Linked DNA regions of Saccharomyces cerevisiae S288C. Changing the gene in region 3 together with the main gene of any one other region gives a genetic interaction. Each region holds a gene or a part of one and is shown on either strand. Other genes may lie near its edges.

What was found. Genes that interact genetically often act in the same process or in processes that back each other up.
Region 1: mutations in DPB3 (region 3) and REC114 together harm fitness more than expected from each alone (negative genetic interaction), as found in Saccharomyces cerevisiae (2 studies listed by BioGRID).
Region 2: mutations in DPB3 (region 3) and MEP1 together harm fitness more than expected from each alone (negative genetic interaction), as found in Saccharomyces cerevisiae (2 studies listed by BioGRID).

Annotation. Positions count from the first base shown.
Region 1 is NC_001145.3:534,407-538,165, reverse strand, and holds REC114 (Rec114p), read right to left. Parts: upstream 1,960-3,759; coding exon 718-1,959; intron 602-717; coding exon 557-601; downstream 1-556. Other genes in the region: ERG29 (Erg29p), read right to left, coding at 1-328; JLP2 (Jlp2p), read left to right, coding at 2,596-3,222; ribosome biosynthesis protein RRB1, read left to right, coding at 3,468-3,759. UniProt on the Saccharomyces cerevisiae protein: Required for the production of double-strand breaks (DSBs) in meiotic recombination initiation; not required for mitosis. Plays a role in activation of the DSB nuclease SPO11 at recombination hotspots.
Region 2 is NC_001139.9:730,893-734,853, forward strand, and holds MEP1 (ammonium permease MEP1), read right to left. Parts: upstream 2,036-3,961; coding exon 557-2,035; downstream 1-556. Other genes in the region: YGR121W-A (uncharacterized protein), read left to right, coding at 2,520-2,735; YGR122W (uncharacterized protein), read left to right, coding at 3,043-3,961. UniProt on the Saccharomyces cerevisiae protein: Transporter for ammonium (both charged and uncharged NH3 and NH4) to use as a nitrogen source. Can also transport methylamine. The affinity of MEP1 is about twenty times lower than that of MEP2. MEP3 has the lowest affinity.
Region 3 is NC_001134.8:758,320-761,399, reverse strand, and holds DPB3 (DNA polymerase epsilon noncatalytic subunit), read right to left. Parts: upstream 1,107-3,080; coding exon 501-1,106; downstream 1-500. Other genes in the region: PAF1 (Paf1p), read right to left, coding at 1-143; tyrosine/serine/threonine protein phosphatase PPS1, read left to right, coding at 1,357-3,080. UniProt on the Saccharomyces cerevisiae protein: As accessory component of the DNA polymerase epsilon (DNA polymerase II) participates in chromosomal DNA replication.

The sequences.
Region 1 (3,759 bases), on a different chromosome or scaffold from region 3:
CGCGATCTTCGAACTCTTCAATAACAATACCGCTTTTCTCGTCTTTGTATTCTTTACCGTGATATTCATCACTCACCAACATCCGATGAAGCTTCAGACTTTCATCGATTCTTCCACGCTCTAGTTCTTCTGATGTGTTCTTTTGTAGAAGACTCATTTCGATCGTTATATACAGTTCGTTAAAAAATGCAAGCGTACCAACCACTATCAAAAAGAGAGTTATCCTACCACTTATTCGATCATGGATAAATTGATGAACATATGGCAACTCCTGTAGTTTATTTATTAATTTTAATTCGAGATTTAGATACCTATCCTTTAACGACATACCGGCCTTTGGTTCTTTTTCTATACCACACTTTGCTATAAACACTTCCAAGTATATTGCAGATTTGCGATGTGATTCAATTTTTATAATGCTTTATATTTTGTTTTTTTTTCATAAAGGCTTACTTAAACGAGCTTGCTCTTCTTGCTTAGCGATATTGCCGAAACTCGGGTTTACTTTTCCATTTTACTTCGTGGCTAGTGTAAAAAGGAATTGCAAAAAAAGGGTTCACTTTTCGAACATTTTATTGAGAACCGTTTCAACCTTATTAACCTTTTCATTCATATTTGTAGTGGCAAAAGTTGTTAGTTAGTATTTCTTTGTCAAGTCAGAGAAAATGAGTGGATAAGAGGGGGAAACAGCTCAGTTTCTTGCAAATGCATACATACCCATTTCATGAATTCTTCGTCTTTCAACTTTTCCTTGATTAGCCGCTTAGATATTTTTCTTGACGCATTCCGATTAACGTTTTTAACTCTTATCGTTAATCCTTCGCTTGGCGATGCTTCTTTCCTCGTTTCATTAAGTGTGCCGTTAGGTAGCACTTCTTTATTTCTATCAGGGGTATGTGTATTTCCAGATTTTTGGGGGTTTGTTAGTTTATCATCAATATTTTTCTTATTACTGGTATTTTTCTTCGCCGTGTTGTCTTTCCCGGGGCTCCATATAATCGTTGGTGTTGCATCTAAACCAGTGACGCTTTGCATCTGACTTTCCCTTTCCTTTGGTATATGAATAGTTTCTAATAAACCAGTTTTACACAGAGCAATCTCCTTTCTTGAAGTAAAATCAGAAGTGGTGTCGACTTTTTTCTTTTTGTTTTCTGCATTAGGAAGGCAGTTGGTAGTGTTTGGTGGAGATTGAGAAACCTCCAATGGCTGTACAATTAGCGACTCAGGACGACCCAAAACAGTTTGCGTAGCCATTGGAGTGTTGAGGTCTTGTGAAGATTGTACTACATTTAAATCCGTGTTTGGCCATATTTGTTGAGCTATTTGAATGCTGTCGTGTGGTAAAGTTATATTTGAACGATTATTTGACTCTCTTTCAGATTCTTCCTGATAACGTTGACTGAAATCCATAATCATGTTTTGAGTTTGAAATTGCGTGTTCGGATTTGTGTAGCTACTAACTTTTGGACCTTCTGTGAAACAGACCTTTGTACCGTTATTATTGCCTTGCACCTGGCTTGTTATTGTACTCTGGGCTATTGATGTCCTAGCTGTCCTTAAAACAAAATTAAGGTTCTTTAAAGAAACTACAGTCCTGTTGAACTCAACGTCATTTGGCAAATTCATCTGAAACCTCCTTAACATTCTGGGTCCGAATTCTTCGGAGATATATTTACAAGAGATTATGGGGCTTTTACATGAAAATTGTATTAAATCTTGATTATCCCCCAGCGGCAGGCGAATATTTTCGAGAAGTGTTGAATTATTGAGAACCACATTGATCAGAATTTGTCTAGAGTCCATTAGAAGAACCCGAAATTGGAGAGTGCAGTTAGCGGAAAGGTGTTGCCACTTGTCTATCTGAGGAGGCTCAAGCATTGATTGAAAACCATTTGGAGCGAAGGAGGGAATTGTATACTTGGAGTATTTCTTTATTACAACTGAGCAGTACTCGTACATTTTTCTCTTTTTTTTTATTTTAGTTCTCTCTTTCAAACTTAACTTGACGATATGTTAAAACCTTCTCCTTTGCTTTTTATAAGTTAGCCGCCCACCTTGTAACGAAATTCTCTATTAGTAAAAAAAAGTTGATATTCTTTCAGGAACCCACCAAAATGGGCTTCGTATTTAAGTATGTATTAATAATTTATGTTATTATTATTTAAAATACTGAATACTTTAACAGTCATTTAAGTGTTTATGAATATGCAGACGGTAAACTGAATTTTATTTTATTCCTACAAAATCACATCGTAGAACATATAAGTAGTCATTACATCTATAAAAAAATTAACAGTGGTTTGAAAACATTCGTTGTGCTCGATCAATCATTTGAAAAGAGACTTCTTATTTTTTCTGAATGCTAGATGCTATTTACTTTCATCTTTTATACTCTTAATTTATATTTAGTTTAGGATATAGATTATCCTAGGCTTTAATATTTTAATGGAAAAAAACTACAATAAGATTGAAACAAAGAACTTGGATAAAAAAACAAAACAACTCTGTAGACCAGAGGACTGCCTTATACTTAAAATTTAGAAAGTAAGCGAATAGAATTATAAGGCTCAATTGAAATTCAACTTTTCAATAACAATGGTGTATTTCTATGAATCAAAACCAACTGAGTATTCAACACCTTACCAAATTGTGATGGGCAAAGATAAGTTTGAAAACGATCTACTTATCAAATGGAGCTATAGGGAGTTAAACTATGTTTGGTTTCACGCGGATAAGTACTCAAGTGGTCATGTTTATTTAAAGTTACGCCCAAATGAAAAAACAATCGATGACATACCGCAAGAAGTGATATGTGACTGTCTGCAGCTATGTAAATCAGAATCCATTCAAGGAAACAAAATGCCACAATGCACCATCTTGATAACACCATGGCATAACTTGAGAAAAAACAGGTATATGAATCCCGGTGAAGTATCATTTAAGTCTCTAAGACAATGTAGAAAAATGGAATGCGGAGCACGAGATAACAAAATACTAAACAGACTGGCCAAGACAAGGGTAGAACTATTTAATAATGTGGAAGCTACACTTAACGAAGCAAAGAAGACCAAAAATGGTGATTTTTTTGTAAACTATATTGAGTCGAATAGATCAAATCTTATTGAAGAAGAAAAGCTAAGGAAAGTAGCGAAAAAAAACCAAAAGAAGAAGAACAAACAGTCTAAAGATGAGGTTACTGACGATATGCAACTGGAAGTATGATATCATCTACATAACGTAGACGCTTCAAAATAGAGTACCATTTGTACTTACATCGTGATCACGTTTCTTTTTTCGTTCGAGCCGTGAAAATTTTTTTCCTTTCAGCGAAAAATACAGAAAATAAAATCCAACTGAATTTAGCGATGAGATGATCATTTCTTATAGGGATTGTAGTTGTTTGAATTTGTAGGTAAATAGTTATATCACCTACTCTCCGTTTTCATATACACGGAAATAGCACCATAATGTCGAAAAGGTCTATCGAGGTCAACGAGGAACAAGATAGAGTGGTCTCTGCTAAAACAGAATCTCACTCTGTTCCTGCTATTCCCGCCTCTGAAGAGCAAGATGCTCCCAAGAATGACCTAGAAGAACAATTGAGTGATGAATTTGATAGTGATGGTGAAATTATTGAAATTGATGGCGATGATGAGATTAATGACGAAGATGACCTTAGGAAAAAGCAAGAAGAAGCTGAAACTTTAGTACAAAAGGACCAATCCGAAGGCAACAAAGAAAAGATCCAGGAGCTTTACT
Region 2 (3,961 bases), on a different chromosome or scaffold from region 3:
TTTCTAAGCTTCATTTTCTTGTCCTGTTGAAAATTCCATGAAATCGAGGTAAAGGCCCGAGCAATAATAATTTTAATTTAAATAAGGCACCCTCATAAAAACGGTCTTACATCCCATTATACCTAAATACGTATTTTTTGGATCTAGAGTGTTAACTATTTCACGATTACCGGTTGGTGTACTCAAATAATTAAAATGTTGAGGACTAAGAGAGCCTATATTTTCTCGAGAACATAGTCAAAAAGACTCCATGGCCAAGTTGGTTAAGGCGTGCGACTGTTAATCGCAAGATCGTGAGTTCAACCCTCACTGGGGTCGTTTTTTGCTTGAAATGAGCAACATTGGAGGAAGATTTGTGAAATCCTCCAGTTTTCTTTTTTTCCTCTAGGTTTTAACGAATGTGATAAAAGATAACTAAATAGGAGGGTCATTAAAATGCTAGGTAACGTATAAACAATGCACATCTATACATATATGAAGGTTTGAATAAGGAATAAATAACACGTGCTCATAAAAAATCAAGAGAGCCAAGCTGGAAACAAAATCAATAAACCGTTTACCTATTGGCAGGATCTTCTTGATGAATTGGTAGGATCTTTTCGGATTGAATCATTTCTCCATTCCCATCCGAGGAACTATTAGTACCGCTACTGCTACGTTCAGCGGCCAAATGAGCGTTGTTCACCCGGTGATTTACATCAGAGCGTTGTGAATCTTCGTCTACACCCCATAGATAGTAATCTCTTCTCACTTCCACATAATCGTACGCAAATTCGCCAATTTGATCTTCGTCCATACCCGCCTCCTCTGCCTCTTCTGATATTCTTAGCCTCATACCGGGTATGTAGCCGAGCACAAAGCAGATTATTGCAGTTACAGCAGCAGTGTACCCAATGGATGCGGCAATGTAAGCGATCTGCTTATACATTTGCTTGTAATTGTGAGTTACCCAGCCGCCCTCGTGCTCTGTAGTGCCATCCATACCAATGACCCAGTCTGCTCCAAAAAGGGCATTGAAAATTAGTCCTATTACGCCTGCAACCCCGTGCTCAGCTAGAATGTCCATGGCATCATCTACTTTAGCGTAGTATTTCAACTTCGTCGCAAAGTTACACACTACCCCCGCCACAATGCCTTGAATAAGTGAACCGTAAAGGGTTATACAGCCTGAGCTTGGCGTTGCAGCCACCAGCCCAGAAATGATACCGGAGCACAGACCAACTGTCGACCATTTCTTCTCCGATCTGTAATCCAGAAGACACCACGTCATCCCACCAGTAATGGCACTGAGACATGTATTCATGAATGCATAAACTGACCTCAAATTTGGGGATAATGAGGATGCAGAATTAAATAGCAGCCAGCCAAACCACAGTATGGATGTGCCTAGAGTGACCAATGAAACATTATGAGGCCTGAAATTTATCAGTAACTTTTCATTTCTTTTGCCCAAAAACCAAGAGTAAACAAACCCGGAAACAGCGCTTAATATTTCAATGTTGCCGCCGCCTGCCCAATCGAGGACTCCCCATTGGTATGCCCAACCACCTGGTGACCAAATCCAATACGTCACTGGACAATATCCAATGGTAGCTAGAATAAAGAGAAAAACCATGTGCGGTAGCAGCCTGCCTCTTTCGGCAGTGGCGCCAGCGATAATACTTAAGTTGACGCACGAAAACATCATTTGGAAGGTTGCATACGCGAGCTCAGGGTAGGCATCTTCATCGAATTTTTTTCCGTACACGTTTCTAAAGCCAAACGAATCTAGATTCCCAATGAATTTATTATTCGGAGCGGACTTTGAAAAAGCTAGAGAGTAACCCCAGAAATACCATTGCAGTATACCGACCAAAGTCGCCATTAATACAACCCAGATTAGTGCTAGTGCAGACTTCCTTCTTGCCAATCCGGAGTACAAGAATCCCAATCCGGGCACCATAAAAAATACTAGGGCGGCACCTAATATCATGAAGGCCACAGTGGGGCCATCGTAGGTTTCAGTCGTTAAAGGCCCTGTAGTTCGACTCTCCATAGTTTCTACAGTATAAGAATCCGTACTGCAGTTATGTTTACTAAAATAATTCTCTGATCATAAGCCTAAACAAGTTACAAGAGCGCCTATATAAATAAACTACCTTTTAAGTATCTTATTCTGGAACTGCATTATCGACTGGTAAGCAGAAGGTGCTATAGAAGCCTACACCACTTTTCCGATTTTTTTTTTTTTTTTTTTTCAGGAAAAACATCTTCCATCAATACTTTGTCATTTCTTTCTTCTTCTCTTCTGTGCTTACATAGCCATAAGATGTCACACAAGGGTGTCTGTAGCAATTGTGAATCTTATCGTTATCGCAATCTCTGAGATGTCTCATCCAATAAGAGGGGCGCGTGTCCGCAGAGATAAGCAACCAGGGCCTTTTCTTTTGCACTCAGCCTGACAAAGGGAGGGGAGGCGCAAAACAAAGTTCGTGGCAAAGGACAACCGTAGAAGAGCATCGCCATGTTGATTTTGAAGAATGTCAAGACACAAGTACAAGTTATGGATGTGCATCGCAAAGGGAAAAAGGGGAGTGGGGGAAAGAAATACGTTTGTCCCTAAGTGCTCTTATGCTCCCTTTTGTGCTTCAGAGGTTCTTGATCAATTATTAAGAGGGGATAACTCTATCGTATATAACTTTTATCTTAAAAATGGTTCAGGTAGTGTTTATATAGGCTCAGTCTTTCTTATCTGAAAAAAAACAGTACGGGATTTTTTGTGCGCTCGAATAGTGCCGAACTCAATTACGGGCTGTGGTAACACTTGAGATCTTGTCTTCCCTTACAAATAGCTCTAGGGGTGTTGCATGTAGCCGCAGTAACATCTTGAAGAAGTGTACACTTTTGAGGGGACGCCATTGTGTTACGTTCTATGTATTGAATAGTATAGTTTTCAATTTTCCTGCGCTGACGTAAACCGGCTGTAAGAAAAAACGTATAATCGAGAACTGGTTATTCAAAGGTTGAACTTTAAAGTGAAAAGTAGCTCTAACAAAATAAATCATGCGTGAGAATGCAATGTCTACAAAGAAACTTCCCTATAAATTATCTGGCAGCAGCAAAATAACAACTTCCATACCTAATGATTTAATCATACTGCGAAATAATTGCATAAATTCACTGAACAGTTCCTCGTCCAAAGCTGACAGCATTACATGTATAGATACGTGGCTAAAATACACAGAGGGTTTGTTAACCCACAGGTACGAAGCTAATAATGACGCCGCTCTCATTGAAGAGGAGATAGCGATTGCGTTAATCAATGTTGCCGTATTTTATCAAGACATCGGTATTGAAACATTGTACAGAGCTTATGAATCTTCACAAGCGTCAAATAACTTATGGACAACAAGCGGGACCTATCTAAAGAGAGGTCTAGGCTTAATCTGCTTTCTTGGAAAGAATTTTCAAATAAACACAGCTAATGATTGCCAAAAGATGCAGGTTCTCAACGTCCTTAATCAGCTATCATTAGAGTTTCAATTGCTGCAACAACTAGGGATTGTCGTTTTAGCACTGTCTAAACTAAGATCAAAAATCAGCAAGGATGCTGTTGCGGACCTTGAGCCTCAAGAATTGGAAGAGCTAGGCAAGTCCAGTGTCTTTTACGCTAAGCTTTGTATTGGATCTTATAGCACTGCTTCGCAATGCCAAGGAGGCCGTATAGTGGACGCATTATTTATGAATTATTTACAGAGTTTGACCTATCTCTTCCTATCAATCAACCAATACAACAATGATGAGTGCGGAATTGCCATTGGGATGCTCCAAGAATCGATCAAAAAACTGTTAAATATAGTACCCAATTCGCAACTAAAAGAGTTGGACATTTTATCCTCAACCGATATTACAAAGAAGAGGGATCTTATAAAGATGTCGTTTAAAAGGAAAATACATGGGTCTACTTTAAAAAACCAACGGA
Region 3 (3,080 bases):
ATGTATAGTGAATTGATTAGTTGGGAGGAGTCTGCATTCGTCTCCGGAGACTCGGGGTAAACCAGAAGTTTAGGAGGTAATTGTGGCACAGGCAAGCTGTTTTGGTATTTTATTGGTGCAATATATTCCTGTTTTTTGGACATTGTGACCCTTTATACTATTATGAGCACTGTTCTATTGTACTGAATACATTTCTGTCTATAATTAACAACGTATCAATAATGACAGTATTAATTCATCCAATGTTACAGTCGTCATTTTTTTCTTTTTCCATTTCAGAAAGACAAATTAAGTTATTCGTGTAATGTGATTATTATTTTAAAGCCCTTGTTTTTCTTCCCTACATAACAGCTCTAACCTACAAAATATTAATTATCCCTAAGCTTTTTCGAGATGTCCTTTTAAAATAGTAAGTTCAAGGTTAGGGTTCTCATTGCGTGTATGTATATGTATAACATATTGCATCGAATAGTAATTACATAGCAATAATAGCAACAACACTAAGGATCGGTGCTTTTCGTATGGTCAACTTCGATATCAGAAGAGTCGGAGTGTTCTCCTACGTCTAGTGCGGATTTATACTGGAATCTCGACAGCAAGCTTGCCACACTGCGCGTGGATTTATCATTTTGTTGATCTTTACTATCATCAAGAAGTTCTTCATTGTGTACGGGCTCTTCTTCTTCGGATACCTCGTCTTCTTCTTCTTCTTCCTCTACACCATCATCCTCATGCAATTCAGGCTCTTCTATAACAACCTCTTGATCGCTCCGACCCGGTTGCATGTTTAGTTCTCTCTTCTTGTCGAGTGCGCTATTCTTCTTCAGTTGTTTAATGGCATCCTCTAGAAACCTGAAATTATCTCTTTTTTCGACACATTCTTCTATAGAATTTAGGCTTAATCGTAGGCTTGTCTTTCCTTTCGAATTCAGTTGTGCTAAGACCAGCGATTCTTCGACGAGATTCTGTACAAATAACTCAGCAGCGAATGCGGTCGCTGATATAGCTACATTAGATGTAATTACGTATTCGGGGTCGCATTTGGCAATCTTCTTTACTTTAGATATAGGAAAGACAGGTGCTTTTTCTTTAACTAAGTTGGACATTTTTTTTGCAACACGGTTGACCCTTGCTTGTTTTTATCTGTTGGGGCAGGCAGTTGTTAAGGCCATTAATTTCGCGTAATAAAAATAAATTATTACTTCAAAAGCATCATGGAAACATAATTGCAAGAGTTTTTAAGGTTCAAAAAGAAAAGTACAAGAAGAAGTAAAAAAGTGAAAAGAAACACCAACCATAAAAGAGAGATTGTCATTGAGGTAGAAGGGGCGGGTATAGAAAACTAGAGCAACAACCATGGTTTTGGAAGTGCCCTCAATCACACCTGGTGAACTGCATGATCTTATGCGACTACATCAGGATGCAGAATGGCCTGAATGTAAAAAAATGTTCCCCTGGGCTCATGATATTTCCTTTGGTCAACCACCCGATTTTCCTCATTCTCTTGCAATAGTCAAATCGCAATCAGATGCTAACAATTCTGCGCTTTTGCGTAATTCTCTCGAAGTGAATGATATCTTCCAGTCCTGGAAAGTTCGCACTTCCTTTCATAGAGAGGGCGATACCTGTGAAACTGGAAATGATTCTAATGGTTTTCAATATCCCAATAACACAAAGGAACTTTTGAACTTGCTAAAGTTTCAGATACGACAATTGGAATTGCAAGTGGATGATGTTGCTTTGGAAAACGCTGCTACTTATTGTCACAATCATAGCATTTTACCATTTCTGAAAGTAGATCCTCGTGGACTATCATTAGAACTTAAAAGGTATTCTAGAAACAAGGTTGGGTCTAATACCACGCTAAAACGGAGTGGGCAGGACGTCTGGGGAAGGAGAGGTCTATTCCGAAGGTTCGACCTGCAATGTGCCAAGATGATAGAAATGGTTGATAATATAGTAATTTATTGTTCGCGGACTGGTGGCAGCACTGATATGCAAACAGAATCAGCGCCAGCGTGCTCACACGAGGGAAATTGCCCCAATTGTACAACCCTTGCACTACTTTTACAGATCTGTTTAATGTTTGTTCAAAAGGGTTATGTAGGGAGTGGAGGATCGCTTTACAAGACGAATCTTTTTATTTGCACTTATCAGAATTTCAATACAGATATACCTCAAACTTTGATTGGTACACCTTTATTAGACAACGAATTTTTCAAGAATAATACTCCCTTGAATTTATGTTCGTCACCTAGTGAAATAGTGTGTTTCAATAACGTTGATAAGAATATGGTTTTGTGCGAGAAGTTAGAGTTGAATAAGCTGACTTCAGCTACACGATTGGAGGAAACAGGGTTGATTTGCGGTAACACCACTGATTGGCATAATTATCAAATAATTAAAAAAAACAATATATCTCTGACCCACCGTTTCGAAGAGAATACAAGCATAGTAAATTTAAAGTCTCTAAATTATGATACGGACAATCCGACAACCTCCATTTCTCAACTGTATAACATACCGAATACAAAAGAGGTGTGGAAATTGATCATAAAATGTACGTCAAACTCGCAAATGCCGTCGTTAACGAAAATCCGAACATATCTAGATCTTTTATTAGACGATGATGCGTCAAAATCACAAGAGCATTTGCATTTGACTTTCCCTGCCTCAGGTAGTATAGGTTTGGGGAACTTAAACATTCAGTCTGTGGAAATTCTTTTGAATGTTTGTTATTTAATATTTCAAGTATCCCAAGTTCAAGAATTATTGACGTTCATGTATTGCGAAGACGGATATACAGAAACGTCATTATTATTAACAGCTTATATTATATTCCACTTTAATATTCCGTTACAAGACGCTCTTTTGAGGATCCATCCAAGACCATTTTTCCTTTTTCCATCAGACTTGCAAATTTTAGGCCATTTACAACCTGTCCTGCGGGAGTTTAGTCCGCAGAATGGAAGTAATCTAAAATTATATGCCAATGCATTGAAATTTAGGGATAAAAGCTTTCAATTACACATTTCTTCAGAGCTTTTTAGTAGCATATTTTTTATGAAGATTCCTCTTGA